Linked DNA regions of Diceros bicornis minor. The protein of the gene in region 3 binds, or shares a complex with, the protein of the main gene of each other region. Links are inferred from orthologs where the notes say so. Each region holds a gene or a part of one and is shown on either strand. Other genes may lie near its edges.

The links.
Region 1: the proteins of THOC5 (region 3) and THOC1 are in contact, whole or in part, in a cryo-EM structure (PDB 7APK), measured with the Homo sapiens proteins. The link is inferred for Diceros bicornis minor from reciprocal best matches to the Homo sapiens genes THOC5 and THOC1. Residues at the interface, in NP_001002877.1 of Homo sapiens: Tyr52, Arg113, Lys120, Asp124, His127, Leu128, Gln131, Asn132, Leu134, Tyr135, Glu136, Met138, His139, Thr145, Lys146, Glu149; in NP_005122.2 of Homo sapiens: Glu60, Arg145, Arg146, Leu147, Ser148, Ser150, Gln151, Lys285, Met286, Leu289, Val296, Tyr297, Phe298, Leu302, Ser304, Leu307, Leu310, Gln311, Ser313, Asp314.
Region 2: THOC5 (region 3) and CHTOP share a complex: the UniProt entries of both Homo sapiens proteins name them as parts of the transcription/export (TREX) complex. The link is inferred for Diceros bicornis minor from reciprocal best matches to the Homo sapiens genes THOC5 and CHTOP.

Annotation. Positions count from the first base shown.
Region 1 is NC_080755.1:14,298,461-14,309,170, forward strand, and holds the start of THOC1 (THO complex subunit 1), read right to left. Parts: upstream 4,365-10,710; 5' UTR 4,313-4,364; coding exon 4,259-4,312; intron 4,092-4,258; exon of another isoform or gene 3,944-4,091; intron 2,156-3,943; coding exon 2,082-2,155; intron 1,988-2,081; coding exon 1,927-1,987; intron 694-1,926; coding exon 627-693; intron 1-626. UniProt on the Homo sapiens protein: Component of the THO subcomplex of the TREX complex which is thought to couple mRNA transcription, processing and nuclear export, and which specifically associates with spliced mRNA and not with unspliced pre-mRNA.
Region 2 is NC_080743.1:57,859,441-57,869,462, reverse strand, and holds the start of CHTOP (chromatin target of PRMT1 protein), read right to left. Parts: upstream 4,365-10,022; 5' UTR 4,074-4,364; intron 2,830-4,073; 5' UTR 2,813-2,829; coding exon 2,748-2,812; intron 1,410-2,747; coding exon 1,256-1,409; intron 650-1,255; coding exon 566-649; intron 1-565. Other genes in the region: S100A1 (protein S100-A1), read right to left, coding at 5,744-5,887, 6,967-7,107. UniProt on the Homo sapiens protein: Plays an important role in the ligand-dependent activation of estrogen receptor target genes. May play a role in the silencing of fetal globin genes.
Region 3 is NC_080774.1:23,158,554-23,168,674, forward strand, and holds the start of THOC5 (THO complex subunit 5 homolog), read right to left. Parts: upstream 4,318-10,121; 5' UTR 4,245-4,317; intron 3,546-4,244; 5' UTR 3,442-3,545; intron 2,593-3,441; 5' UTR 2,557-2,592; coding exon 2,461-2,556; intron 372-2,460; coding exon 228-371; intron 1-227. Other genes in the region: NIPSNAP1 (protein NipSnap homolog 1), read right to left, coding at 6,390-6,454, 7,780-7,863, 9,025-9,119, 9,478-9,509, 9,834-9,974, 10,121-10,121. UniProt on the Homo sapiens protein: Component of the THO subcomplex of the TREX complex which is thought to couple mRNA transcription, processing and nuclear export, and which specifically associates with spliced mRNA and not with unspliced pre-mRNA.

The DNA.
Region 1 (10,710 bases), on a different chromosome or scaffold from region 3:
TTACAAATGACCCTAACCTACTCCTCCTGCTTCTTTCCTCACCATTCTCATTATTCTCTCACCCCTCTGCTCCATGCAGTTCTTTAGCCATGCTGAACTTGGCCTTTCCATAGCTATTCCCTTCTGTTTCTGCCTGACAAATTCATCATCCCTCACATCTCAGCTCTTGTGTTACAGCTTCCTTTCTAAGACCTTCCTGATTCCTTTAGATTCTGAAGTTTAGAAAGTCATTTCAACCACAGTAATTATACCACAGTAAGACAGTTACACATCTGTTTCCTCCATTAGTCACTAGGTTCCTTACGGGCAAGGAATATGTTGTATTTACCAACGAATCTCCAAATCCTAGCTCAGTACCAGGCACATAGTAGATGCTCAATAAATATTTGCTGAATGAACAAAACAACTGGAGATCAAAGGAAGTGCCAAAATGTGTGCTGCATAATAAAGACGAAAAATAAGTGTGAGCTAATTTCATTGGGACAACTTCTTAGCAAAGGTGGTAGGCAGAATTTGAAGAATGAACAAAGTTAGGTGGGGAGATATGGGGAGAAACAAAATTAGCTAAGTTTTAAATAAAGCATGTCATGTCCAAAATTACTTTAAAAAAAGAAAACCATACTTACCTTCAGTTACTCCCCCAATAGCAAGAGAAATAATAGCTAAAACATTTTCACATGACGAATGATTTATCTACCAACAGAGGAGAAAACAACTTAATTTAGGGGCCAGAGTTCAGACTAATCTGATAACAATAAAAACATACCCTCTGACATTAAATTGATTATTACAAATATGGGATAAAAATGTCTCTTATAGAAGATAAAATTACTTTCTAAGATGAAAATACAAAAATGAATGGTAACAGAGTCACTAACTGTTGAAGTATATCAAGTAAACAATAAGCAGGAGACTCACTTAAAATCCAACAGTCTTAGGAAAATGTTTACGTTAGCATGATTTAGGCTGTAAGCTAATCAACTACAGAAGTGCTAAGGTTCACAACTCAATCAATGGCATGGGCGAAGGCAGGGCCAGGGGAATTAATTGCACTGGGGCATCAGCATGTCTGAGGGAGGGTTTTAATAGAAGGGAGGTAGTGCTTAGGTTCTATAACATCATAAAAACCAGCATTTATTGAGTGTTCATTAAGTGTTGTTTTATACAACAACCCTGAAAGAATGGTATTGCCTGTCTTACAAATGAAATTGAGCTCAGAAAAGCAAAGTAAGTTGCCCAATGGCTCACGACAGGTAGTTATGTCTGAAGAGGAGGAAGAATGACTTTTGATCCAGAATTGTCTGAAAGAAAGGGACACTGTATTATGGCTGTTAGAAAAGGATCTAGCTTCTCGGGACCCAGCCTTTGCTTAACCAAGAATAAACTGCTGAGACTTTTCCTTTCATTTGAGTGCCCCACTAATGGTAAATAAATTCAGACTGCTCATGTTTAGATTAAATTCTCTACTGAAGTTGGATAGGCTGTAGTTTTTTTTGAATGCAAACTAATGAGGAGGATGCCAGAAGAAAATGAGCACATGAATCCCAGCTCCCATGCTGAACATCCTTAGGCTAGGCCTTTCATGCCACTACAGGATGTTGATAGAGCAATGTGAGAGGGCTCACCTTCAACTTCTAGTTCTTGCTAAGTAAGACCTCATGTCAACTTTTCTTATATTCACTGCAGAGGGCTTTCTTCATTTATTAAACCAAACCTTTAAATTGCACCTGTGCTGTTGAATCCCTTAATTATTACATAATTCCTGTACTATTATCAAGTCAGCTTTCACAAAGTAGCAAGCTCACTCTAAAAAAAGTAATGTTTAAATATCCATTCTAAAAATAAAAGCAATTAAAAAACCTGCTTTATTAAAAACTAGTTTATTAATTTGCCAGCAAAATTTTAATAAAGGATAAGCATACTTACAATTTCTTCTTCTAGAACACCTCTGAAAGCTTGGTCAAGGGTACATTTTTTTTCATTTTCACTATTAAAAAACAAAAGACACTTGCATTTTTTAAACAGCTCAAGGTAAGTACAAAGATCCAGGCAAGCATATTTCATGGATGTCAATGCCGTACCTGCCAGGTAACTGGCTGAAGGTATTCAACAATGGCTTGATATTTTTGTTGTTCAGGGCCTCTCTGGTAGACTTCTAGAAAAATAAAAATAGGAAATAAGTGGAAAGATTTTGCTTATTATTTACTGAAAACCATATCACTTATCAATAGTATGTCTAAGTAAAAAATATTTTTACCTGGGAAAAATTACCTACCAATCATTCTATCAGTAATTCTTATTCAAACGCCACTTACTGATACAGACTCTCATCACTTTAAACCTGTCAAGAGCTTCCTAGCTAGACTTTCTTATTACAGGTGTTCCCTCCTACCATCTCTTTAAATATCACATTCATGAGAGTATTCTGCTTTTTTTTTTTTAAAAACCTCTAAATGGCTCTCTATTTACAGGTTTTGGTTTTGAAGTTTCATAGCTCACTCTCAAGGTCCTTGATAATATTATCCCACTCACTTTATCTAATCTTATTTCCCACTACACCCTAACATAATTTCCACTAAGGTCTAGCTGTTTTTTCATCAGTTTCTATCAAGCTCACTCAAGGGTATTCATACATTCATGTTGTTCTTTCCACCTGCTCGTCCAAATTCTATCCATTCTTCAAGACCCATCTCAAGTCCTACCTCCTTTAGGTAGCTTGATCAGCACAGTCCCTGCTGACTGTCTTAAAGTAGTCATAATTGAAAGACAAGAATATTGCAAAGTCATTCATTCTGTGAAAATTCACATACACCTGCAAAGTCATCTTATTGCCTCATAGGAGTTAGATTTATACTGTAAATAGGCTGTGTAATCTCGGGCCTATCGTTTTATCTCTTTGTGCTTCATTTTCCTCTCCAGTTAACTAAGAGGGATGTTGTAGATCCTTACAACAGCAGTGGCATCACCTCCGAACTTGTTAGAGATACAGAATCTCGGGCCCCATTCTAGACTTACTGAACCAGAATCTACATTTAACAATTTATCTCTAGGTGATCCCACTACACACGGAAACTTGAGAAACAATGGACTAGATGATCTCCAATTAAATGGTCCCTTCCAGGACTAATGTGATCTTGGAGATTCCTCAAGTTACTCTTAGCAGAACTTCAGAGCACCAGGGATTACAGCAAAATGCACAGAAGGAAAACGATTCTGATAACATAAACAACATATAATTTGGTAAAAAACAAACACCACACTGTATGAAAAAAATAATACCTGAACACAAGAAAACTACTGACTACAAAGAATCAATTTTCTTTCACAGAATTTTCATTCGGGCATGACTACAACTACATGAGCATAGTTAAGCATAATCAGTAGTTTCATGACTTGAAATATTGGCACAAATGCTAAAGACAAATACAGTCAAACAATTTTGAACAGAGTTCTTCATGTTTGGGGCTATCATGGGCAATATAAAAAGAATACTGGGTCTGAAGTCAGAAAAATCAGTGAAGTAAATCATTTAACTTTGGGGGGGGCAGTGTCTTAGTTTTTCTCTCATATACAACGGATAATAAAACTTACCTACTTCACACTCCTATTGTAAGAGTTAAATAAGCCAACATGAAAACGCTCTGTAAAGTGTTTCCCAAAGCTCCAACTGCTTTTCCCCAAAGCGTAAGAATAAAATAACATCTGGCAACCTTTCCCAAGCTGATCTGTTTGCCTCTTCCCACTTAGGATCTCCTCATCGATCTCTTAGGAGCGAGATACTGAGAGTTACAAGTGCAGGGAACAGACAGACGGAAAAACCACCTGGCAGCTTAGGAGGCAGGGCAGGAGCCGGTTCTCTGGGCTGAAACCACGCCCGCCTCTCCGCACACCCCCCCGCCCCGCGTAGCTCCCCGTCCAGTTCCGGAGACACCTGCCCCGCTAAGCGAGCACTGACGAGGAGCTGGCCCGCACCGGAGGTAGTCTGCGGATGAGCCCTCCACGCAGGGCTCCAAGACGCCCAGACATCAGGGTCCCGGGGCCCGCTGGCGGGAGAGCGGAGGCGGACAGCAAAGGACTGGCGAAAGACGCAGGTAAAGCGTCTTTCCCACCTCCAGCCCCTGACGGGGCCGGGAGCCCACGCCGCAGCGTACACGCCTCGGTCCTCACTGTATCCCAGGGCAAAATTTGAGTAATTTCAGAGAGAGGAGGGCAAAGAGTAGCCCTGGGTTAGGCCTGCCCCCTCCTGCCTTCCGCTCACCGTAAACCGCGTCCGCGCTTCGGGCAAACTGAAGAGCTGCGGCGTCGGAGACATCTTCCCGGCTGCGCTGGCCCGCCACCGCGCTGTGGCGCCCGCTGATGACGTCAAGCCGAGAGCAACGAGATTGCCGGCTCGGTGCACGGCTAGAGCGGCGTGTGAGCCAAGGGGGGGGCCAGCTGCCAGTCCGGAGACTCTGTGGGGACCGCCCACTCAGGTGGGCGTTGGAAGCCTGAGTCAGCCGCGCAGAGCCTAGTCCGGGTTTGTGGCGTACCCTTGGGGTGACGGCATTTGGGCTGCCTCGTCCTGTAAGCTCTGCGCTGCCGGGCGGGCCCTAAGCCGGGACGCGCACCGGCGGTGGTTTTCCCGGTTTGGGGAAGCCGGGAGGGTGGCGGCTAGTTACGGCTCAGTGCGCCGCGCGGGAAGGTAACCGCTGCCCGAGAATCCAAGGCAGGCGGGTTATCTGGGCAAGTGTTGGCGGTGGCCGGGGACCGCCGGGCCTCAGTCATTCTCCCCGAAGGAGTGGTCTCAGCTCCGGATTTACGTATCAGCCCTGTAGTTCAAGTGCTCTGTGGCTCAGGAGCAGTTCCCTCTTCTGTGACATAGAAATAATGCCTGTATCACAGGGCTGTTGAGAAGCGCGAATGAAACCATGAAGGCAAGTGTGGCTTGTAAAGCAATATAACTTATTGTTAATATCTTGGACTCAGTTAACTTTGGTGGCACGTGGAGGTCTCTACTGAACGATCAAGACCGGGGAGGAATGCCATACTCGGCTCTGATTGGAAAGTGGGTGGGCGCCGCGTCCAGGTAGAGGCACCCGTTTCAAAACGCTGTCTCCTCAGCAGTTTCCTCCTTTGTCTCCTCTCACTGGAGAGGCTTGGTTATGAGAAGCCAACTGTCAGTAACTTTCTCAGTTGGCATTGTGCTGTGGGGAAAGAAGCACTGACCCAAATACGAGGAACTTCCTGCCAGCTCTTATTCCCTTCCACGTGTACCTAAATGAAGAAAGCTAGGTGCGCTTTACATTGTTCCCCTCGTTGACATCCAACGAGAATACGGGAAGCTAACAAAAAGATACTTTTGCCTAGTTTTGCCCCTAAGTGGGGATTGATAACAGTGATGGCTACCTACAGCACGGCACTCTTTTTTAGAATCAGCAGAATCATTCAGGTTTGATTGTATGACTTAAATTTCCAAAGAGGCAAAATAAACTGATATTAGCTGATTTAATAGGTAGCTAGTGTAATAGGATTATTATTATGTTACAGATGATTATTAGCTACCTGGAGCACAATTAAGACCTGGGAGGTATATAAGATTATTTTTTACCAAAACCCAAACATAAGAAGAGCTGGAGTTGATTGACTCGTCCATCAAAGCCCAGTGACTTAGAATTTTTGTTTATTCAGCAAACATTTGTTGGCCATTTTATACACAGTGGACAGTGTTTGTTGAATGAATAATAAATATATGAACAAATGATTGAACAAAATAATATAGTTTAATTCCTGTTTTGAGGAGCTCTGGTTGGCATAAAAGAAACAACTACAGTATACAATTTCTATCGTGAGTAATTTAGGTAATAACTGCTGTAGGAGATCAAAGGAGAGAGATCACTACTGTATGAGGTAGTCAAGGAGCCTTTATGGAGAAGATAGAATATGAGCTGGACTTTGAATTCCAATAGGCATAGGTAAGAGTGGGAAGAGGTAAATAGGAAAGACATTCCAAATGGGGAGAATGGTATGAGCCGAGGTATGGAAGGGAGGAAACATAGTGAAAGACAGCTGTTTATTTTGACTTTAACCTTGGGTTCTGAACAGAAATAGTGCTGAAAAGTCAAGTTGGAACAAGATTGTATTAATGTTTGAGGCCAAAGAATGTTGTGGGTTAAAAATGGCTTTTATGGTTCCTACTAAGTTACAGCAGCAGTATATTTTGGGGGGAGGAGAAAGTGAGCTGTTTTGCTGCTACCAAGTGAAGCAATACCAGATAAAGAAATAGTAGGAAAAAAGCAGCAATCATCAGGTGATAATGGGGAGTTATTGTTTAATAGGTACAGATTTCAGCTTGGGATGATGAAAAAATTCTGGAGATGGATAGTGGTGATTGTTGCACAACAATGTGAATGTACTTAATGCCACAGAACTGTACACTTAAAATGATTAAAATGCCAAATTTTATGTATATTTTACCACAATAAAAAATAAAACCTATTTTTAAAAAGCAGCAATCTGATGCTAGATAGATTAAAAAGAGCTAAGACATCATAGACATCAGTATGATTTGAGACCTCAAGATAAGATTATATTTAGATTTTATTTATTTTTATTTTTTCCCCCCAAAGCCACAGTAGATAGTTGTATGTCATAGCTGCACATCCTTCCAGTTGCTGTATGTGGGACGCGGCCTCAGCATGGCCGGAGAAGCGGTGCGTCGGTGCGCGCCCAGGATGCGAACCCGGGCCGCCAGCAGCGGACAGCGCGCACCCAACCGCTAAGCCATGGGGCTGGCCCTAAGATTATATTTAATAAAGCAAAGAAGTAGTAATGCATTTTAAAAAGATGTCATTCAAAAATCATTGCAGGGGCCAGTCCGGTAGCACAGGCGGTTAAGTGCACGCGCTCCACTGCGGCGGTTGGATCCTGCGAGCGCACCCACGCACTGCTTGGCAAGCCATGCTGTGGCGGCGTCCCATATAAAGTGGAGGAAGATGGGCACGGATGTTAGCCCAGGGCCAGTCTTCCTCACCAAAAAAAAGAGGAGGATTGGCAGATGTTAGCACAGGGGCTGATCTCCTCACAAACAAACAAACAAACAAAAAACAAAAATCACTGCAGTAAAAAATATTTTAGCATTTAGATCACGTTAAAAAATCTTTATAATTCCCAGTGTACTTAACATGTAGTATCTCATTTGATCCTCTAAATGATATTTTGAGGTGGGTAATACAGCTATTATGCCCATTTTACACACAAGGAAGCAAACTCAAAGAGGTATGGTTCTTGATAGAGGTAATTGGCAAAATGAGACCACTCAGGGGTTTTGATTCCAAATTTCGTGCTCTTTACACCATGTTATACTGTTGTAAGTAATTGTCAAGTTTTATTGAGTACATTCTATGAGCCAGACACTTTTCTTGTATTATTTCTACGCCTTACAACAGCATTGTACATAGTTATCTATCAGTGAGGAAACAGGCTCATCTGTCTTAGGTCACATGGCTAGAGAAAGCTAGTTTGGGATTTGAGCCTACCTTTAATCCTTAACTCTTGAATCTTTACCAACAGACATTCCTATCTTAATGTCTCATACATTATTTCCTTACAGTTGGATAAGGGTAAGGATCATATTGTCATCAATAACAACGAATTATAAGTTTTCAAAAGTTTGTAATAATAAAGTTCAAAGGGCAGACATCCAATAACATGTAACCTCTTTGCTTACGTTTATTACGCACTGGTTTTTCCTCTTATGCTAGTGAGGTAAGATGGACCAGGAACTGCCTCTCTGTTAGGAGATACCCTCCATTGGAAATTCCAGGGTGGGTGGTTTAGTTCAGTGCCAAGCATTCACATCTTCATTCCTCTTCTTTTCCTTGCTGTGCTCTTACTTGGATTCAGGTTACCACTGGAGTGGTGAGATCTAGGAGAAAAGGACCAAGGAGGCAGCCTCATCTGCTTTTGTTCTAGTCCTTATCCTCTAGCCCAGGCAAAAGGAAACTTTTTGCTCCATTCTCATCAGTCAACCACATTAGGATGTTGAATTGCAGCTTTTGCTGGTTCAAGTTCTGGGCCCTAACCATCTTTACCCTTTTCTCTCTCTGTAATTTGAGTGGATTGAAATAATGATATTGACAGGGAACTGATGTTTGAGCAAAAAGCAAAATTGAGCAAGAAAAATGAGACTCCTTCATTGGGAGAGGAATGGAACTGAGAAGAATAAAAATGGAAGAAGGATAGCACTTTGTGTATATTTTGGGACTTACAGTTTTGTGGAAAAAGAGAAATTACATGAAAACTGTGTGGGTGTTGTCTTTTTTATAGGGTGGTGGCAATTTTCAAGCATTTTATATTAATATTGTACTATTTATTCAACACATATTGAGTGCCTACCATCTGCCAGCCATAGGTAGAATATTTTTGGATTATATACGCAGTATTATTATTTTATTAAATTGTAAGTACTGTACATCATTATTTAGTGTACATTGAAAAAGCCTGTTTGGTGAGCTTGGTTGGACCACAATACGTGAACATAATTCAAGGTGAGAGAGAGAATAGTGAGTGACTTCTTGCCACGGTAAGCCCAGCTTCCCTGCAGGGTTAGGCAGAGATTTTGCCTGAAATTGCGCATTGCTTGGCTTGTTCCCCTTTCCTGTCCTGTTTCCCTCTCCCTTACTAGTTTCTCCTGAGAGCACCTTAGTAAATTATTTGCTCATGAATTCTCACCTCAGGGTTTGCTTCTGGAGGTCCTAATTGTGTTAGTTTGGGTCTACCAAGAAGCAGACACCAACACAGGATTAGATGTGCAAGAGGTTTATTATGGAGTCAGTAGGAGCAGGCAGGGAAAGAGAGCTTGCAGACCACAATGCAGGGCTGACACCTGTGGAAGGAGAGAGGGAAGGAAGGAAGATTAGGTAGGAAGTTTCTGAGTGAAGTGCAGATCCAAGAAAGGTTTGACTTTGCCAATGGCGAGTCCTTAGGCCAAACTTCTTCTTAGAGGAGTCCCGTGGTTTGCCAGAATGGACCTGCACTAGTACCTCTGCCATGTTCAGTCATTGACTAGAAAGCAGCCCTCAGAAAGCCTGGCCTTGGTGCAAATGTGGTTGATCCAGAGGTTAACAGCTAAAGCTGTCAGTCAATTATACTCCCCACAGCAAAAGATCTGAGCGGAGCATTATATGACCACCACACTGTCCTAACATATTGATATAATAATATTTTATTCATTTTCAGATAATATTTTCTTCAGTTGTTTATTCTCAACAAATATATATGAGCCTGGCACTGTGAACAAAACAGAAGAGTTACTAACCTCATGGAACTTTTAATCTGTGCGAGAGCAGATTTTTAATAAAGTAAATAAAAACATAAAAGAATTTCACTATGTGATAAATGCTATGAAGGAAATAATAGCATCTGTTGAGTGCTGTTGTGTGCTTTAGTTCTAATTGCTTTACATGGATGAACTCATTTAATCTTCCCAGGAACCTTATGAGGTAGGTCTCTCTATTAGTCCCAGTTTACAGGTGAAGAACCTGAGGTGAACACTGCTTAAGTAACTTAGTCCCAAGGTCACTCAAAATCAAAGGAATGAGAGACTGAGATAGAGAATGCTTGGGCAGTATTTAAATAGAGTTATCAGGAAAGCCCTCTCTGAGGAAATTATATTGAAGCTAAAACTTAAAGTGTGGAAAGGAATTAGTTGTATATTTGTGAGGGTGGGATTTGGCAGGGGAAGGCAAGAAAGAACATTCCAGGTAGACAGAACAGTGTGTGCAGTGGCTTGTGTTAGGAAGAAGGTTAGCATATTTGAGAACTGAAAGAAGGCCATAGTGAGGAAGATGGAGAGCAGTGGAAAATGAGGTTGGAGAAATGGACAGGGCCAGATTGTTTAGGACCTTGCACTTCTCTGGAGTTTCGTTTTCTTCTACTGCATGCTACAGCCTCTGGAATCTCACTGAACATGTAAAGTTTGTTTTAAAAGTTCTTTTTTTTTTTTTTTTGCATAAACTGTTTCAGAGGAGAGTCGTTTGCTTTCATTAGTCACCTTGCTTCCACTCTGGAGCATCTGATTTCCTTCATATGACTGGTGATTTTTCATTATGTATTCATGTTTATAAATGAAAATCAAGTTGTTCAGTCCTAATAGCTATTGCAGGGGCTGCTCAGCATATTTTCCACTCCTTACTTGCCATTCCCACCCCTCTTTACCCCATTCTTGTAACAGACAAAACAGTTGTGGGTGGCTAGCTACCAGGGCTGGCTAGCAATAAGTCTTTGAAATTTTTCTTCTGCAGCTGGAAAATACGTCTGCTGTACTAGTTAGAGTTCTTTTTTATAAACACTAGAAACCTACTCTGGTTAGTGTTTTGAGAAGTAAATTATTGAGAGGGAATCAGGAAGTTCACACAACCAAGTAGAAGGCTGGAGATAAAGCTTGGGCAGCCCTCAATGGAAGTAAGACATAGCTTCAGTCTTAAGATGACCCCACTAACACCATCTCTAATGGTTTGGCTCTGCTCCTGGATTCTGTGGGCCCTGGACACTTGCTACCACATCATTGAGCATTCACCACCACACCTTGCTGCTGCAGCTATCCTACATAATCTCCAGCTCTCAAACCTTTGCACCTCTTCCTCTAGATTCAAGGTCATGGCCAGGAGTATCTGATTGGCTACACTCAGGTCTTGTGCTCATGCTTTAGCTTCCAGAGAACAGGAGAAGTTA
Region 2 (10,022 bases), on a different chromosome or scaffold from region 3:
AACATTGACAGGAAGCCTGAGGATGTCAACCATACCATCCAGTTTCCACTCTAGAGCTGTGCTGTATGCTAAGGTAGCCCCACTAGCCATGTGTGGCTATTTAAATTACAAATAAAATTAAAAGAAAAATTCAGCTCCTCAATTGTACTAGTCACATTCTGAGTGCTCAATAGTCACATGCAGCTAGTGACTACTGTATTGGAGAGCAGATACAGAACATTTCGATCACAACAGAAAGTCCTATCGGGACAGTGCTGCTCTAGAGGCTGCTTTCTGCACAGCCTCTATTTAAAGTTTCTTGTTGAAAGGTCCTGTGGAGTGATCTGTCAAGGGACTTATCTTCAGCAATTTTTTAATATTTATTCTTGGAAAATGGTGGTGCCTTTTACTGCTTTCCTGAGTCAGGGATGAATGCAGTCACTCCAAGGCTTAAGGTAGCTGAAGCAGAAGGCCTTGTTTATTTTTGGTCAGTGAGCCCAATGGTTCAGGGTGGGGGTGGGAGGGTGTTATATTTAACTGCTGAATTTATGCACAGCCATGCAGTGCTACCAGTTAAAGTCCTTACAGTTGCATGGCACCGCCCTCCAGACGTCCAGCCACAGCTTGGACATATCCTTCCACAGCCACTGTCCGGACTTGCATATAAAGTCTATGAATAATAAAGAGTAGGTTTTATTTCAGGTCTGAATAGGATTATCTCTTACCGGAAATATGAAAGAGAACCCACTAACTTAAACTAATTACTCAGTGCCCTCGCTCTACTTTACTGACAAAACTTTAGGTGCAGTAGGATTCAAGTCATCTTATTCTTTCTATATTTTAGCACTGAAAACCTTTCACTAAGGCCATTCAGACTCCCTGAACTAAGGGAGAAAGGATAAAATTATTTCCCTAATTTGTAAACCATTTAACAGAGAATAGAAGATTTTTTGAAGATCATGTAAAACAGAAAGCAAAATTACTTTGTGTGAAAAGCCAGTGAATCTACTTTAAGGGCAAAGGACCAGAAAACAAGAGAGAGTGATATTCGCTGATAACACAGAAACAGGCAAACTCCCTAAAAGAGAAAGACAACAAAAAGTTATTTTTTGGTACCTGCCAAAATGGGAATTCTCTGAACTTCTCTTTCCTCCAGAGAAGTTTCAGCTTTTGCCCTGAGCCACCTCGTAATCATCCATCACGTCCTGACAGCCTCAGTGGACTGCCTGACAGAGATCACCGGCTGCTTCTGGAGCGTTAAGATCCATTCTCTCACCTGCTTAAGTTTTAATGCTGCCTGGACAGAGGGTCTATTCTCCATCTGCTGGGCCAGTCTTCTGTTTCTGGCACTGGCTAGCTGCTGTTGTTGCTGCATCGAAGCCCGAATATTCACTGGCATCGGCTGTTTGTTCTTCAGCATATTAGTAAAGCTTCAAGGTCGAACAAAATGGATGTTTAAATAAAAGCTTTATTACAAAACATTTATTGGCATTTTCATGGCCTGCTAGACCAGGAGCTCCAGATCCCACGAACTTTTAAGTAAAGTGGTACACTTAGATCAAGGCTGATGTGGGTTAAAGACTCCTCTGCTTCCACAAACTTGCAAGAATCAGAAACTTAGAAATGCAGCTAAGTGCAGCACATTCAATCAAAAGTGATAACAAGGGCTCAGGTAACGGCTTTTAGAGAGATGGAAGGCATGAAAAACACGCAATAAGCAGATAAGATGACAACAAGAGACAGAAGATGTAGTTTCAAAGACAAAGAAAGAAAGCCAAAACCTTGGGGGACCTGAGGGAGTATTTTAAGGGCAAATATAAGGAAGGACTAGAGCACCTTCAAAGCCCACGGAAATAACACACTCATATATATTATGGGAGTGTATCACATTTTCTTATATATTTGTTCACTTAGTAACATGTGAACAGAGAATTAGTATATCATACCCTAAGAGTTAAGAAGCACATATGCCTCAGAAAAGGCAAAAATAAACACTGGGGAAATCTTTCAGGGGTCTAACATCAACTTAATAAAATCACTGGTCAAAGGTACTGAATGAACAAAGCTCCTGGAGATAGAAACTGCTGTTAAATACCTTAACTTTTCTTAGCCTCAAATGATTACTTTTTCTGACTCCAAATGATTACTTCTGAAAAAGTGTGATTCGTTCAATCATTTAAGAGCTTGTGAAGACATTCTTCTATTATTCCTGTCAAGGTAAGTTTAATGGAATGGAAGAGAAGAACACTTAATTGTGAAAGAATCCAAAACAAAAACAAACTTAAAGCAGAATGGAAAGAAAGTGAAATGGAGCAAAGCAAGTGCCTCTTACAAGGCCCAAGAATGACATTCCAGGGCCTTTGGACATATTCATAGCTTGCTACCTGCCTCTTACAGGCCAGACACAACACTGCTGGCCTTGGACTGGGCAGCAAGCCTACTGCAGCCAGGGTACCATGCTACCGAGCTGCACCACCCCTGTATCAACGTAAAAAAATGTGAAGAAAAGGGAGGGTGTGAGAAGTCTTTTTAAAATACATCCCACCAGATAAATATCTCAGACAGCTTAACATAAAAATCTACTGATGAGGGGTTTTGAAACAACCGCCCAATCTGTTTTGTGTACCACATAAGATGCAACTAAGAACAGAGGTCTGTAGCCTTCTGTTGGTATTTAGTTTAAAACCGGTTTTTGTGCAGTGGACCCCAAGGCCAATTTAAGTAATGTTTTCTTATGAACGAGCTGAAGTTGCCGTTGGCTGCCTCACCGCTCATTTAGAGACATCTTGGTGGTGCTTTTTAGCACAACTTTCGGCGCTGACTGTGCAGCCATCTTCAAATCCCGAGAATCTACAAAAGGACAATGGGCACAAAGAGCAAATCAGAATAACAACCACCTCATTTCTGCTAGGGCCAAAGGCCCACACTCACAATGAATGAAAAGGCTTGTATCAATGACTACTGAAGATCACACTCGAACTCATTTTGGGTGCTTAAATTTATAAGACAGTTACCGCAAACTAACAAACTTCAAGGCCACAGGACAGAAAATATGTGCCAAAGCCTCCAAAATGGCAGCCTTAGACCTAGCTAAAGGAAGTATAAGAGTTTGGCTTTTAATCTAGAGCAGTGCTTCTCAACCCTGCCTGCAAGGAGCTTTAAAAAAAAGATACAGGGCCACCCGTGGCTTAGCGGTTAAGTGCGTGCGCTCCACTACCAGCAGCCCGGGGTTCGGATCCCCACGCACCGCTTTTCCGGCCACGCTGAGGCCATGTCCCACACATACAGCAACTAGAAGGATGTGCAACTATGACATACAACTATGCACTGAGGCTTTGGGGAAAATAAAAGGAGAAGGATTGGCAATAGATGTTAGCTCAGAGCCGGTCTTCCTCAGCAAAAAGAGGAGGATTAGCACAGATGTTAGCTCAGCTCAGGGCTGATCTTCCACACACACACACACACACACACAAAATACAGAAGCCTGGCCTCAAACCAATTAAACCACAGTCTCTGGTGGTGAGGTCTGCGGATCAGCAACTGGAAAGAAAAAAAAAAAGCGGAATTCCTAGGCGCTTCTCACGTGCAGCCAAATTGAGAACCACTCGTCTAGAAAGATGATACAGGCATAACTAGTTTCAACCTGGCTTTCGACTCCCAAGTAGGGCCTTAGCAAGGGACTAGGGACCCGGGGGAGGGAGTAGGAAAGGTTTCCTAAAGGGGCATTCACCTGGGAGTTAGCTCCCAGAGCGCGCTCTATAAAATGTAACCCTACCGCCCCCATTACTTCCCAACCTTCCCTGAATCCTGTTGTCCTCATTTCATCTCCCTGCCATCTCAAAGCCCTGTCAACACGGCCAAGTTTGCTCCATCTTCCTTCCCAGCCCTATCAAACGCCAACCTTTTCCCTCAGCCCCGCCACCAGTCTCCAGCGCGGGCGCTCCCCCGCCTCCGCGCAGGGGCTCCGCCCCCTCCCCGGGCCCCCGCACTCCGACACCCTATCTGCTTCCACATGCCGTCGCCTTCCGTGCCGCGTCCGCCGGCCCCTTCCGCTCCCCAAGACTTCTCCCCTCCTTCTCACCACAAACACGTACCGAAGGAAACAGACGCCAGTGCTCCTCCCGGGGCTGCCACCACGGCTGCGGCGGGCGGGCCGGGGGCCGGCCGAACCTGAGCAGACGGTGGAGGGGCTCGGCTTCACTTGTGGGCGGTTGGTCAGGTGTGTAAGCGGTAGACTGCTAAGTTAGTTCGTTGTTGCTGGCTGGCTGTCTGGTCGGCCGGTCCGTCTGCTCGCCCGGCCTGCCCTTGCCTGCCTTTCGTCGGTGCCACCACAGCCGCTGCCGCCAACTCCCGCTCGTTGTCCAAAACAAAATGGCCGCCACGCCCAGTGCGGAGTGGGACCGGCTAAAATGGCGCCGACGCAATTACGTCAGGCGTCCGGTCCGCACACGACTAGGGAGCGGGAAGATTTGTGCTACGCCTGCGCAGAGATGGGGGCGGAGCCCTAGTGAGAAGGCGGGGCTTTAGCAAAGGCCCTGTCTGAGGTACACCCCGTGCCCCGCCCACAAAGGGGCGTGGCCAATGGCCTGCCCTTGGGTCTTGCGAAGGGTTCGCTTTCGAGGCAGGGTTGTTCGAGATCTGGGCGGCTCAGAGCGGATTTGGTCCTGATGAAAAAGGTTTACGTGTTTCTTCACTCTCTTTCCGGTTCCCCAAGCCAAGGCAGACCGTCTAAAATTCTTTACGCGGGGCTTTCCTCGGTCTCTTCCTTACCACCGGGCCGAGTAATGAGCGCTGGCTCTCCTCTCGTCATCATTCGCCCTGTTCAGAGTTGTGGAGTGTCATAAACGGCCCAGCCACAGCCTGGGGCCGGTGCTGGGAGCACACGTCTACTGGAGCCTGTGCCAGTCACCACACGCCCTCCGTATTTTCCTCTTCACTTCCCTCCCCAAGTTGGCCTGAATATTGTTAAATCCTTATTTGGGGGGGACCTTTGTGTGCCTGCATCCCCTTGCATGTCCTCCCTCCCCATCTGCCATCCATGCTGAATTTTGATGCAGACCTATACAGGATTTTTCTTATGCCTGGGTGCACAATAAAATGCTCAAATGTTTGAAGAATGAGTAAATCAGCACATCTTCGACCCTTCCTCCCCCCCATACAGGCACTTCAGGATCCTTTCATTTTCTTTCCTAGCATTTTCCTGTGTGTGTTTAATGGTCTAGCATCCTTCCACCTTACTTTACCTAGGTGAGGGTAATGGTCGCGTTTTGTTCACTGCTGTATCCCCAGTTCCTACACAATGTCTAGTACATGGTAGGTCCTCAGGAACTATTCTTTCAAGGTTAAAGGGAAATTCTTTCTTTTTCTGTCTTATAGCTGAGAAGCTGACATCTCCTGTACTTCCAGCTGGAACTTTGAACCCCTACCTTCCTGGGCCATGAGCATTCCTCAAGTAGGAAGGTGTAATGGTCCCTTGATCTCTCTCCAAATAAGACCCCCCCCCCCCAATAAGGCAAGCTGGGATTGAGCAGCCTTCACTTCCCCACTCACTTGCAGACCCCATAGGAGACAGACAGCAGCTGGTGAGAGAGGAGCCTTTAATGAAACATGAGTTGCAGGCCTGGCCCACTACTCTTGCGCCCTTGTTGGAGGAGGGGCAAGGGTGGGAGTGTGGGGAGGGGAAAGTGGGGTGAGGGGGAAGCAGGGCAAAGGGGCAGGTATGGCAGGGTGGAGGGGAAGGGCGCTGCCCACTGGGGCTGTCTGCTCAACTGTTCTCCCAGAAGAAGTTGTTACAGGCCACTGTGAGGGCAGCCACCAGCACCACATACTCCTGGAAGTCCACCTCCCCATCTCCATTCTCGTCTAGCTCCTTCATCACCTTGTCCACGGCATCCGTATCCTTCTGGGCCTGTGGAGGGAAGAGATGGAGAGGTAGGTGTATAGGGAGATGAATAGCACTGAGTCAGGGGCAAGGGAGGTGGCTGATTGGGGAGAAGGAGGCAGAGATGAACAAGAGGGACTAATTATGGGACTCTTCTGCTCCCCTCCTCAAAACTAACAAAACACATGTGGCCTCCTGTTGCCTACAGAATAAGCTCCTTAACAAGGCAGAGTAACAATAACAACGTCAAGTACCGTATGTTGAGTGCCTACAATGCCACAAGCACTACACTAGGAGCTTTACAAGCATTGTCTAATTTAATTCTAACACAAATAGTATGAAGTAGGTTTCATTATTCCCATTCTAGAGAAGAAACAAATTGACAGTTGGTGGTTAAATGATGTGCCCAAAGTCACACAGCTAGAAAGTGGCAGGGCCAGAATTTGAACCCACGTCTAATAAAACCTCAAAGCTGGTACACTTTCTATTGGCTTCTCCTTTACTATATATAGCATGCTGCATATTCTTCTTTCTCCTATGCTTTTGTTCATGCAGTTACTTCCTCCTAAAATACCTACATTTACCTTAATAACCTTGCGATGGAAATCCATAGCTCAAGTGCCACCTCTTTGGAGAAGCTGTCCTACTTTAGTCAGGTTAATATTCTCCCATAAGCCTTTCTGGCACTTCTGTTCAGGCTTTGCGTACTTCCTGAGTGGCTGGCCCAAGGCTTCAGAGGGAGGAAGGTCTCACTGCCTCTGAGCTTCCTGTCAGCAGACTGGGGGCCTCTTTTGGTCCTTCAACTCTGTTCTTTCCTGAATATGTCACTTCCTGGTGTTCATGGTTTACTTCCAAGTGTCAGTCTTTCCCTTCTAGACTGTGAGCCTTGTTATCGATGCATCTACATAGAGTCTAGCACTTTTAACAGGTGACCAATAAATCGGCATTTTGACTTAGGGGAGCCTGGAAAAACCCAGGAGAGAAGCCTGGGAGAGGAAGGAGATGGTTGGTCTGAGCTGGGGTGGGGTGGGGAGATGGCAGAGAGGTGCCCACTCTGTTCCCCCACCCCTTGCCCATTCCACCCCATACCCCCACTCTGTGCTCACGTCCAGGAAGCCAGAGAGCTCGGTCTGCAGCAGCTCTTTCAGCTCCTTCTTGCTCAGCTTGTACTTGTCCCCCTCCTTGCCCGAGTGGGCGTGGAACACATTGATGAGAGTCTCCATCGCCGTCTCCAGCTCAGAGCCCATTGCGCAGCTCACCTACCCACCCCCACCATGGAAGTGAGCTGAGGACCAAGCTCAGGGTATCTGTGGTCCAGTAGAGGGGAGCCCTTAGCCATGGCCCTGGTCCCATAGCTCGAATAGCCATGAGATCAGAGCTCCACTGAAATTTATCCTTCACTGAGATTTTACGATGTGGGAGAACCCAACAGACCTAAATCCAGACCTGTATTCTGTGTCCCTCAATCCATACCCCAGCAAGAGGGAGTCAGGGTTTGGGGCATGGAGGTAGAGCAGCTGGAGATGGGCTGGCTCTGGAGGCCTGCAGAGGAGTCTGCAGTGGCTCTTGGCTGCCTGGGCAGACACTGAGGAGGGTGGGGCAGGCAGGCGGGGGTGGTCACAGGACCTGGCCAGGCTTCCTCTGGCTCTGTTATTATGCTGGACCTTGCCTGCCTAGCACAGCCAAGCTCTGCTGTTGGCAGTGATGGCTGGGCTCCCCTTTATAGCCTTGTCTCTTTTGCCCATCCCTAGCAAGGAGTCAGTCTGGTGCCCTCGGTCAGCCTGATGGAGAGGGTGGCAGCCTGAGTGTCTGGCCCCAGGTTTCATGAGGACGGGGGTGGGGCGGGTCTCACTGCCTCTGAACTTCGTGTCAGCAGACTGGGGGCCTCTTTTGGTCCTTCAAGTCTGTTCTCTCCTGAACATGTTACGTTGGCTTCCCTGGGGTTCACCTCTACTACTTCTAGTTTTGTTCCTTTTACTTCTCTGCAGAATCAGCCCTTCCATCGGGTGGTGGTGGGAAGGGAGAGAGGAATGTCTGAGCCTTTTCCCTGGAGTCAGGGCTCCCAGGAAGGGGGAGAGGAATCCTGTGGGACTTGTCCCTGCTGCTGGCCACTCCCACCCCCAGCCTGACCTAATTGATGTGGGGACAGTGGCAGCAGGGAGAATGGGCTAAAATGTATTGAGGGAGATAAAGGGCTGAGTGCACGGGTCCTCTGAGTTCAAGGGGCTGCGAGAGAAGAGAAAAATGGAAGGGTCTGTTGAGGAGGAGGGACTGCCAAGCAGGGGCCTCTTTGCCTTGGCCTTGGGACAATCAGCCCCTCCATGGTCTCAGGGGGCAGCTCAGGTGTCTCAGATCAGGTGTCCCCATCCTTCCCCAGGCCTGATGGGCTGGACAATGGGCCCTGATCAGATGACATCCCAGCTCTTCAATGGGGCCCTTGTGAGTGTCACCTGAACTCCGGATATGAGAAGCAGTTGTCACAGAGACATGGGGGAGATGGAACCCAAGCTGGGCTGATGGCGGGGATAAGGGGGGTATGTGAAGGAGGGGTGCTGGTGGCTAAGTTATCGGCCCCATCCAGGATGGGCACCTCAAGGTTGCCTGGAGCCCTTGAGCAGCCTGGGATTTTGTGTAGGGGCCATTCTGAAAGGACTTGGGCAGGGAGGGGACAGATGGGAAAGCAAAGAGGAAAGAATTGAGGGGAAGAAGAATCTGGAGGTCTGGGCCAAGGAAGAGGAGGAGGAGAAAGGGGACTCACGTGAAGGGAGGGTTGGGGTTGGGTACAGTATCCTAGTGCCCCCTCTTCCTGATATCACACGGTCCATGCTCTGCCCTCCCCCCCCAGACTTCCCTGGAACCTGAGCTCTTGGCAAGGCTGGGTGGGGGTGGCAGAGAGACCGAGGCTGAAGCAGGGGTGGGCAGAAGCAGCTGTTCCATCTGCTTTCTTATTCTTACCCCACTGGAAGTGAGGCGAGGGCTGGGTCCCCTGCCAGCCTCAGGGAGATTGAGGGAACCTTGGGAGGACACTTGAGGGCTCTGTGGTAGAAGGGCCTGGTCTCCTGGAAGCTTGGTGGCTGGGTTCCCCAATGGCTTCCTTATTCACTGAGCTCCCAGATCTCCCTCTGACCTTCACTTGCCTGCCTTCATCACCCTCCAAACCCTGTCTCCCTCAAATCCCAAACCGCAGTCACCAGCATACTTTCCAGTCCCTCAGTGCACCACGATGCCATTGTCCCCAGACTCTTGGAGCCCCGCTGAAGTCCCCTTTCCCCCAAGCTGGCCAGGGCAGGATGGGGCAGAATACTCACTGTCAGCCTGGGCCTGAGGTGGGAGCAGGTTCTGGACAGACAGCTGAAGCTGCAAATGTGGCTCCCGGAGCTGTGTGGGGAGACCTGTCTTCAGCCTGCCTTCCCCCACTGACCCCCCCTCCCCACCGGCTCCACCCCTTCACAGACGGACACCCAGTGGGGCAAGGGGCCAGGAGAGGACAGAGGCGCCCTCTGTCTCCTGGGCTGGAACAGGCTGCCCTGTGTCCTCTTCTTTAGCCTCTGTTGCCTTCCCCCACTGCTGGGCCTCAACAGGCAGGGCCCAGGAGGAAGGGAGGTGGGAAAAGTCCTGGGAGGGACACTGAGAGGCCTGCCTGCCACCCCCTGCGGTACTGGCTGTGGCTGCTAGGCAGGGAACAGGAGGAGCCCGCTGAGGGGTCTTAGTGAGGGGTCCTCTCTGAATAATTTAGTCTTGGGAGTCTCCCTGAGGAGTTTCAGTCTGAGACCCCACTGAGGTATTTCAATCCAAGGTCTCCTCTACTGGGGTCTCAGCCTGGATCCCCCTCTGTTTGTGGAGTCAGAGCCTGGGATCCTCTGAGGGGGTCTTGGGCTGCAGGGTCCTTTGCGGGATCTCATTCTGAGGGGTCCTGTGTGGTGTTTCTTGGATTGCTCTCAGTGCTGCGCTCCCTCAGTTGGTTCTTTCCATCTGCAGTCGCCCCCCTCCCGGCAACAGACACACTCCCGATTAGACGCAGGTGTGGTGGGGCAGCAGGCTCCCTGTACGAGAAGGGATGGGACCCTAGGACACCAGCTGAGTGGGATCTGTCCAGGCAGCTCCGGGCAGCTCCAGGCAGGGCCGCCCCTCCACCAAGTGGGGGCGCGCGTGGGCCGGGTTG
Region 3 (10,121 bases):
AGTTATGGAAAAACCAATTATCCTGTACTTTCATTACTATAATTTGTGATTGAGTGGTGGTGAGACCTTCCAATAAATTAATAGGCAGGTCTCTGGAGCCCCTAGGCTCCAACCATCTGATCCCAGCTAAGACAGGAGACTAAAATCAGGAAGAGCTCTGGTAGGTGCAAAACAGCTCCATCCATGCAGAGCCACCAGCTTCATGTCTGCCCAGCCCCACTGCTTACCACGTCCTTGCCTCCCCTGCTCTTCAGGTCCTGGATCTCGGCCATAAGCCTCTGCAGCTCCTGGCAGGTGTACTTGTACAGCTCGTAGTCTCTGCCAGGGTCCCGCAGGTCCACCTCAGCCTCCTCACTGTAGTATTTACCTTCCTGTGGAGGCAAGGATAGAGGCCTTGGGTAAGGGGTAAAAGTCTCCCTGTTCAGACCAGGGACACTAGCTGAAATTGGTAACAATGAAGCCTCAGATCAGGTCTCTAAAGGATCATGGTCCTCAAATCAAATGTTTTTCTTCTTTTCAAAATGGGAAAGAATTGGTCTTTTCCTCTTTCTGTTTATAAAGTAATGCATACTTGGTGTCAGAGGAACATAGTGAGGAGCATCAAAAACAAAATGAAAAATTGCCTGTAATCTCACTTCTTCCCAGCTTGAAATAACGCCATTGTTAATACTATGGATAAATACAAATTTTATTTTTAAACAAAATGGGATCATACTGTCCATGCTATTTAGTATAATTTCCCATCCCAATAAATACAGATCTCCATCAAAATGGCTGCATGCGGGCTGGTCCCCTGGTGTAGAGGTTAAGTGCGCGCGCTCCGCTGCTGGCAGCCCGGGGTTCGGATCCCAGGCGTGCACCGACGCACTGCTTGTCAGGCCATGTCGTGGCGGCGTCCCATATAAAGTGGAGGAAGATGGGCACAGATGTTAGCCCCGAGCCAGTCTTCCTCAGCAAAGAGAGGAGGATTGGCACGGATGTTAGCTCAGGGCTGATCTTCCTCACAAAAATAAACAAATAAATAAAATTTTTTTAAAAAAATGGCTGCATGACAGTCTACTACAGAGATGAACCAGAACTGATTTAACCAAATTCATACTGATGGGTGTTTAAATGGTCAAGTCAAGATTTAGCAGAGACTAAAATATCATAATTGACCTCCCAGCCTTTGGAGTAAACAGAACACATCTCTTTGAGAGAGAGTGAGCTATAGTTAATGATACCGTATTGCATACTTGAAAGTCACTAAGAAAGTGGATCTTAAAAATTCTCATCACAAGCCAGCCCTGATGGTCTAGTGGTTCAAGTTCAGTGCTCTCACCACTTTGGCAGCCCAGGTTCATTTCCTGCTTTTGGAACCACACCACCTGTCTGTCAGTTGCCATGCTGTGGCAGCGGCTCACATAGAAGAACAAGAGGGACTTACAACTAGGATATACAACCATGCACTGGGGATTTGGGGAGAAAAAAAAATTTCATCACAAGAAAAAAAAATTCTTTTTGTAACTATGTATGGTGATGGATGGTAATTGTGGTGATCATTTCACAATATATACAAACATCAAATCATTGTGTTGCACACCTGATACTAATATAACGTTATACATCAATTATACCTCAATTAAAAAAAAGAGAAAGAGAGTCAGAATCAATGCCCCAAAAGGATAAGGTTCTTCATTAATCTTGATTTCCTAAATCTGGCGAAAGCATCACTTTCTATCTAAATTTAAGATGGTATGTTTCTCTATTCCAGTTTAAAAAACAAAAAACAGGGGCTGGCCCTGTGGCCTAGTGGTTAAGTTTGGCGCGCTCCACTTCGGCAGCCTGGGTTTGGTTCCCCAGCACGGACTTACACCACTCATCAGTGGCCATGCTGTGGTGGTGACCCACATACAAAATAGAGGAAGACTGGCACAGATGTTAGCTTAGGGTGAATGTTCCTCAGCAAAAAAAACAAAAAAAACAAAAAATATAACCAATCAAATAATCAAAAGTTAAGTCATAAATTAGCTTGACAGATTCAAGGACAGAGAAACAGCAAAAGGAGAAGAACCTGCTGACCACGTGAGCTCTCAGGCCACAAAAGAGGTTCTGCAGGCATGTGGTTCTGACAGTGTCTCTGCAGCAGACCAGGGATGCCACATCTCCAAAGCTCCAGCAGCATGCAGCAGATGGACTGCCGTCTTCTGACCATCAGGAAAACTGGAGACACACCATACTAAAATGCATTCTCTGTTCATGCACTAATCATACGGGCTTGTTGGTTCTTGGGATGCCCAAGCTAAACCTGATGTGGATACTCAAGTTGTGCAGAGCCAAGAGAATTCCAGGCTTGACTTGGTCAAGCAGAGGCCATGTGGGAGATTGTTCCTATGACCCTCAGGTGCTGCAAACCCACAGCCAGGTGTTTAGCCACGAGCTGCAATTTCTCAGCAGCATGGCGGCCCTGGCTGATCTCACCTGCTCAGTGTCAGAACGATTACGCTTCCCTTCAGCTGGAGCTCCATCACTTCGGATCACTTTGGGTTTCCGTTTTTTGCTTGATTCTGAAGACATGGTTGTTTGATGAGGTCAGGAGGAAACAGTAGAGACCTGTTAAGAGAAGAATGTTTTTGAGATTTTCCAGAGTTGGAACCGATTTTCCTGGAGTCAGAGTACTTAAGTTTAACTAGCAGTTCTGGCTACTTACACGCTTGGTAACTCAAGAAAAGTCACTCAACCCTCCAAAGCCTCAGTTTAATCCTCTGTAAAAAGGGGAATCATCCCTCGGCCTGTCCAAAACGAATTCATCTTCTTCACCTCCATCTCCTTTAAAGGTACCACCCCCACTCCACTGGCCAAACTCCTCAGCCTGGCATATAAGCCCATTCCCAATACTCCGGATTGATAACTGTGTGCTAGACCTTGATCTAAGCACTTTATGAGTATGTTCTCATTTGATCCTTATAACAAACCTTTCAGATAAGAGCAAGTCCATTTTACAGACGACAACACAGAGGCTGAGAAAGGTGAATGAATTGCCCACGGTCTCATAATTAATATGCTAAAGCTTGGGTCCATCTGATGCCACACCAGTGCTCTTGACAGCTACATTATTGTGCCTCCTAGTCTTGCCACCACCTCATCTGGTGATGCCATCAACTCCCTGGTTAACCCTAAACTTTAAAAGAACGAAACCTACATTTCACGGGGCTCTACGGTCACAAGGCATTCTCCCTCTGCTACCTCTCCTGGTTGTCACCACAGCCCCTGGTGGGCAGTACTATCCCCCTTACCCCTAACACCTCCTGAGAGAGCCAACAGCTCACCGTAGTAGAGTCAGAGGAGCCCTGAGTTGGAGTCTCCACTCTACTATTTTGTGACTACAAGTCCTGGGACAAGTCACTTCACTTTCCTCTGGGTCTGTTTCCTCACAGATCAAATGAGAACAGCAGTCCCTACCTCAGGGGTTGTTGTGGACAGAAACACAGGCAGCACTCCACTGGGGAAGGTGATGAAGATGATCTGGCCTCAGATGGCACATGGGTGATCTTAATGTTGAACACCTAAGGAGAAAGGTAATCCCTTTTCAATTCTTGTTAGAAACTTCTGATTGCTTCAAGAAGAACATTTCATTTTCCTAGTCTTTAACATCTATGAACTCCAACCTTCCTTTGTTAACAAAAGGACCGTCTCAGAGCCTTAGACAATGAAACCTAGCTAGAATCATTAACAAAGATCTGTTTTCATATTAAATACATTAATTTTTATCATTATTTTCTGCATATGACAAGAAGTCTTCCATTTATGGTAGAGACAAAATTTTTTTTAACGTACATTTAAATTTAAAAAGTGACTGGATTAAAAACCTTTAGTAAACAGTCATACACGGTAATTTTGCAAAACCCACAAAGGTGGCACCGGAAAGGCGTTTAAGTGTGGGAAATCCCGACTCTGACAACACAGTAAAGAGTGCCTGGCACATATAAGCGCACAATAAGTGTGAGCTATCACCACCACCGCCACCACCGTCATCATCTCGAGGCTACAATGTGGGGCCTGACGATGCTGCAGCTGACATTTTCTACAAGAGGAGACAGGGCGCGGCGCCGAGGGGGCGGGGACCCGCGGGAGTGAGAACTTAGAACCCGGGCCGAACTCCAGCCCGGGGACGCCCTCCGAACTGTCCGCACCTCAGTCCCCAAGCGACCAGCCCCGCCTCCCGGCCTCGCCGCCCGTCCCCGCCAACCACGTCCCCTCCTCACCGACCGGCGCCCCGCACCCGCCCGGGAAACCGAGCCACTTCCGGCGAAGAGGAAGACTGCAGCCCGCGCACCATAGAGAAGCGGAAGGAAGGAGCGGCCGGCCGGAAGCGAGGCGTGGAGGCGGAAGTGAAGCGGGAAGGCCCCAGACGGCAGCAGTTGCTGGGTGCAGGCAGCGGCTGGGCGGGGTGGGAGCAAGGTAGGCGGTGTCACGTGGGTTGTCAGGGTGGGAAACTGAGGCTGCGAGGTCAAAGACTCTTATGTGCGTCATTCACTCTTTCCCCAGCGCCTAAAGCAATGCCCAGCAACTAGTAGATGCTCTGCCAAGTAGTTGTTGAATGAATTTGTGTTATGCCCAAAATAACACAAGAGCATGGTAGTGCCGAAATTTGAACTCCTGTGGGTTTGCCTCCATAACATGGATTTTTTTCCCCCCAGAGGAAGAGTCGCCCTGAGCTAACACCTGTTGCCAATCTTCCTCTCTTTTTTCAACTGACAGATGAGTGGTGTGGTTCCATGCCCAGGAACCAGCCCTGGCCGCCAAGGTGGAACATATGGAACTTCAACCATTAGGCCATCGGGGCTGGCATACAACTGGGATTCTTAACCACTGTCATATTCACCCTAACATCCCACACTAGTGAGGGCAGCAAGTTGGGGAGGGCATTAATCCCATCTTACACTTGGTTTTCCCACAGAAGTATCAATAATTTCCCCTATTTTAGGCCCGATTTGCCAAGGGCAGTCACAACTCTAATGCAGCATTTGACACCCTCAAGTGTTTTCTACCCCTGGGATGAACTGTACAGACAGGTGTCAGGACTTTTGGTGTAAATCCTACTTATCTAGAGGGAGAAACACTGATGTCCTGAATCTGTGGTTAAACAGGGCAGTTCCCTCTGCCATGGGAGGAGGCTGAAGCCTCCCTAAGAGTAGCTCAGGGAACACAATACCCTCCAGGGGGGTAGATCAGCCAGGAACAGGGAAGCTGGCCACCTCTGCTCAGCTCTGCTCCAGGCAACTGCCAAAGTTCCTTGCAGATGAAGAAAAGACACTGTGGTTTATAGTAAATATTTAATTGGTTCCATCAGCAACTCCAACACAAGTTTTTCCAACAAGGAGGCAGAAATCAAGCTACCCAGAGGTTCATGAGGTGTAGGGGTCACTGAGGAGGCCCCCAAAGTCACTGACCCCACTCCACACACCCAGTGGCCCAGCAGAATGAGGAGAATGTGAAGAGGGGAAAAAGGAATGCAGAGTGCAGGAAATACAAGCCCTGGCTTGTACCTTGCCTGCAGGAGGGAAGACAGGAGGGCAGAAGACTCTCCCTGCACTGAAGGGCTAGAACTACACATTCAAGTTCTCAACCTCATTATGTAGGGAGAACAGACGAGCCTCTCTCCAACTGTCCTGTATTGGGAACCTCTCCCCAAGTAGTCTTCTGTCACCTCTGTTCTATCTTCCCAACTCTGTATTCCACATTCTGCAGTTCAAACCCAAGTTCTGAATTGTAAGTTCTACCTTCTGGGTTCCCATTCCATTCTGTTTCCTGCCCCCAAGTCCTTCCTGGTTCCCATCCTTTTTCCCAGCCTTTCTGGGTGGAATTGGACCTCCTGCTGACTTTGCTAACTTGAGAGTTTTCCCCTTTGCTTCTTGAAGCTGTTCCAGGCTTTTTCCCATCAGGAAGGACTTGGCTCAAAGTGGGTGCCCCAGTGGAGACCAGGGAATTCCTGAATGCTTGGCCTGGTCTGACCTCCTCCCTTCCCACTCCACCTCTAACCACTGGACACACAACCTTTTGTGCAACTTAAAGCTAAGATGAGGACTTCCTGGTGATAATTAGGGACTGGTGGCCTTGAGGAATCTTAGGGGGAAATGTCAGGAGACATAAAAGTTGGCTGTTCTTCATTCAGAGAAATTAAAAACTGCTTCCAGCACTGGGGAAGGGGGGGCGGGGAAGGTGGCAATGGTCTTGGCAGAGCTGCAGGTCCTCAGAACCCTGTCATCCAGCTCCCCCTTGTATGAGCTGAGCACTACCCCCACAAGTCCTCTCAGATCCAAGAGAAAACCAAGACAGCAGGACTGGGAGCTCTTCTGTCCATGGCTTCCCTCAGGGAGAAGGGGAAGGAGGTGGAGGCAGCCACAACATCACTGGAGAGGTGAGATCTTCAAAGGGATCATGATCCGAGACTCCATGTGTCGCACTAGGGGGACTGCGGAGAGAGAGGCAGAGGTCACGGAGAGGGCTGAGGCGAGCCAACCCCCAAAACTGGCCTTTGAAGAGGGAGGATGCCGGGGATGCTGACAGAGGAAGAGCCCCACTGCCCTCCTGGAAGGGCCCATGGAGTGCGCCAGGTTTCCCAAATTGTGGGATAAGAGGGGACTTAGGTGGTGATGAGATGAACATTGTTTTTATTTTCAGAATTATATATTTATTTTCCTGTGTATGTGAAAAAACAACTAGCATAGTAAAAAGTGATTTCACAGATGTTATTGCTTAGGACAAGGCTAGGTGAAGAATAAAGTACAGGGATTTAAAGAAAAGTATCAAGAAAATAATTGTAGCAGTAGTGATGACCTCAATTAGCTGAGGTTTGAAAAACACTGCCTCATTTTACAGATGGGGAGGCTGCCGCCCAGAGGGGGTCAGCTCAAGGTCACCCAGGAGGTCAGACTCTCTCCTCCTGCTCAGAGCTGTTCAAACTTGACCGTGCATACATATTACTTTCAATTGTTGGTCAAGTGCAGATTCTGTCTGATTCAGCAGGTGGGGGGAAGGGATTAAGATGTGGCATTTCTAACAAGCTTCCAAGGTATGCTGAGACTGTCATTCAGGACCACACTTTGAAGAGCGAGGCTCCGGTTAACTCCTTCAGGAGTCGCATTCTCCCCCACACCAGCTGCTAAGTGTGGAAGCTTAACTGTCAGCTCCTCGAGGGCAGGGACAGGTTCCTGTTCACTCTGAGCCCACGCTCCGGCCACCGCCCACCACAGTCCCTGGCACACAGTGAGGGCTCAATCAACACCTACTGACTCCAGGTGGTTCTCAGGGATCCCAGCAAAGTGGGAAACACTATGAGCAAAAAACTTGCTCAAAAAAATCTGCTGTGTGCTTCCTCTGTGCCAGAGTCTGGGAGAAGCACTTTTCATAAATTAGCTTCTGGAATCCTCCCTCTAGCCCTCTGAAGGAGGCACTATCACCATTGCCATCTCACTGATGAGGAAACAGCCTCAGTGAGGTGAAGAATGATGCCTGAGGTTACAGTGTGCACTCAGCTACTCCACTTCTCTGAGGCAGGGTCTGCCTGGCTATGTTATCATCCCCTAGAGCACTCAGCCATAAGACTCATGTGGAATGTGCCACCAGGATGGAAACTCACTAATTAATTGTCTTAAAAGTGAGTTCCCCATCACTAGAGGTAATCAAGTGAAGCTAGATCTCCTTGCAGAGGGGATTCCATCCTCAGATAGGGCTCCTAGCAGATGACCTCCAAGGGCCTGGCTGACCACGCCCCCTCCGCCCCAAGGAGGCACTCACCTGTGTAGTAGACATTTTCGTCCCAGCCCCTCTTCCTCCAGGCAGCGTTTCGAGTCTCCTCTCGAGACTGCAGGTCTTTATAGGCTGTGAGAAAGGCACTGGATCATTCCCTGGGCACAGAGGATTTCATCCTGTGCTCAGCACAGAGCCCTCCTCCCACTGCCCCAAACCCTGCCCTGCTGTCTCTTCCCCGCTGATGCCTCAGACTGTTAGCAAACACTGTCTGCTTTGACAATCTCATCCAATCAGTACATTTGTTGACAACTCCCAAATTCATATTTCCAGCCCAGAACTCTCCCTCGGGCTCCAGATTCGTATATCCAGTGCCCACCTGACATCCACACTTGGATGTGTCAGCGTCTCAAATGTAACACTTCCGAGGACCAAAATTACACTCCTGACCCCTCTAATGTACTCCTGTAGGGTCTCAGTAAGTGACACATAGCTGCTCAAGCAGGAGTCTAGGAGTTCTGGAGTCTTCTTCTCCCTCCCTCGCCCCACAGACAACTCACTCCTAAGTCCCATTGGTTCTACCTCCAGACTAACGAATCAGTGGACTTCTCACCATCCTCACTGCCACCATCTTAGGCCATGCCACCATCCTCTCCTGCCTGAACTAGTATAACCATCTCCTGATGCCCCACTTCCTCTCTCGCTCTACAAAGCGCTCTCGGCAAAGCACATGGCAGCCAGAAGAATCACATTAGAACAGAAATCAGGTCATTGCATGCTGCTTAAAATGCTGCAGCAGCTTCCCATTGCCTTTAGAATAAATCCCAACTCATCCCCACTGCCTGCAAGGCCCAGCCTGATCTGGCTTGTCCCCGTCTCCTCACACTCTTCCCCACACTCATATCGGCCTCCTTTGCACACCTCAAAATGCCAAAGGCCTTTCCCCACCACAGGGCCTTTGCACATGTTGTTCCCTCTACTCAGAATACCCTTCCCTAGCAATTCACAGCTGGCTCCTTCTCATCCTTTAGCTGAGCTTACATTTCACCTCCTCAAAGAGGCCTTCTTTGTCTATCCAAGCCAATGCAGGTTCCCATGTTTTTCTTCATCATTTCTCCATCTTTATTATTTTTAATAATCTGAAATTATCTTTTTGTTAGTTTTTGTCTGAGGTGGTGTCTCCCTCTGCTAGAGTGTAAACTCCACAAGGACACTAATGTATTTGCATTGTCTATGCAGAGTGACAACGGAGAAAGGGGACTAGCATGGGCTCCTGGGTGGTGCCCAGCCTACCCCAGAGATGGTGCACGACGTAGAGCTCTCCTATCTGTGAGAAGAAGCCGCCCACTGCCTCCTGGTTCTCCTGCCGGTACTTGATGGCCCGAGCCCTGGGGATGACAGAAGAGTATGGGGCAGAGGCCAGGCCTGGTGCAAAGGGCCCTCTGAGGTGTCCTCAGGCTGACTTCTCGGCCACACCTCAAGGGAGGAGCCTGAGGTATGGCCCCTGGCTCTCAGAGATGATCAGGGGATGGGTGACAGAGGTGCAGCTGCTGGCTGGGTGTTCTACCAGGGGAGGCCTCACAATCCTCTAGAAGATCCTCACCTCCTGGCTGGATTCTTCTCTGCATCCATGAGGGGCAGAGGATGCCGGGTTCCTTGCCATACGTCCCTGGGAAAGGTGGCCCACCAGGGGCCTTGGCAGGGCAGGTGGGCAGGGTCCCCCCAACCCCCGATACTGCCACTCACCAGTTGTTCCCCCACTCGATCATGGTTCCTGGCTGAAAGAGAATTAGAGGAGAGGATGGGAATGAGCCCCCACCTCTGATTTCAAGCCTCACGCTGGGCAGAGATGGGAAACTGCCATGCCTCCCCAGCTTCAGGGGCCACCTGGCCTCATTCAGGGGCCCTGACTCACACCTGGGTGCGCTTGTGTGCACATGTGCGTACACACCTCTGTTCTGAGCCTAGAGGGAGGGAGGGGCAAGAAGCCCCAGTCTAGGTGCTAGGGCACAGGGCCTGCCCACCTCAAGGTACCTGTTAAACAGCACTGCAACAGGGAAGGTGGGAGGCAGGTAGGGATCTGGAGGGAGGGAGGGCAGCACCTTGAGCTTGTATGTCCTCAGCTCATAGATGTTGGGGCCTGTTCTGGGCTGTGGCTCATTCCAGAAGCTGAACTCAAGGAGCAACTGGTTTCTCCTGGACAGCAGCATCTGGCTCCGCTCCTTTCGGAACTCCAGGTACTCCTGCAGGTATGACAGTCGGGGCATGGCAGCCAGGAAGCGCCCCCCACCCCAGCAGTGTGCCCCATGGGGTGGTGGAGGCAGCCCCCAGCACAAGGCTGAGCCGGAACCATTATCCAGAGAGGTGTGCCGAGTGGATGCCAACATACC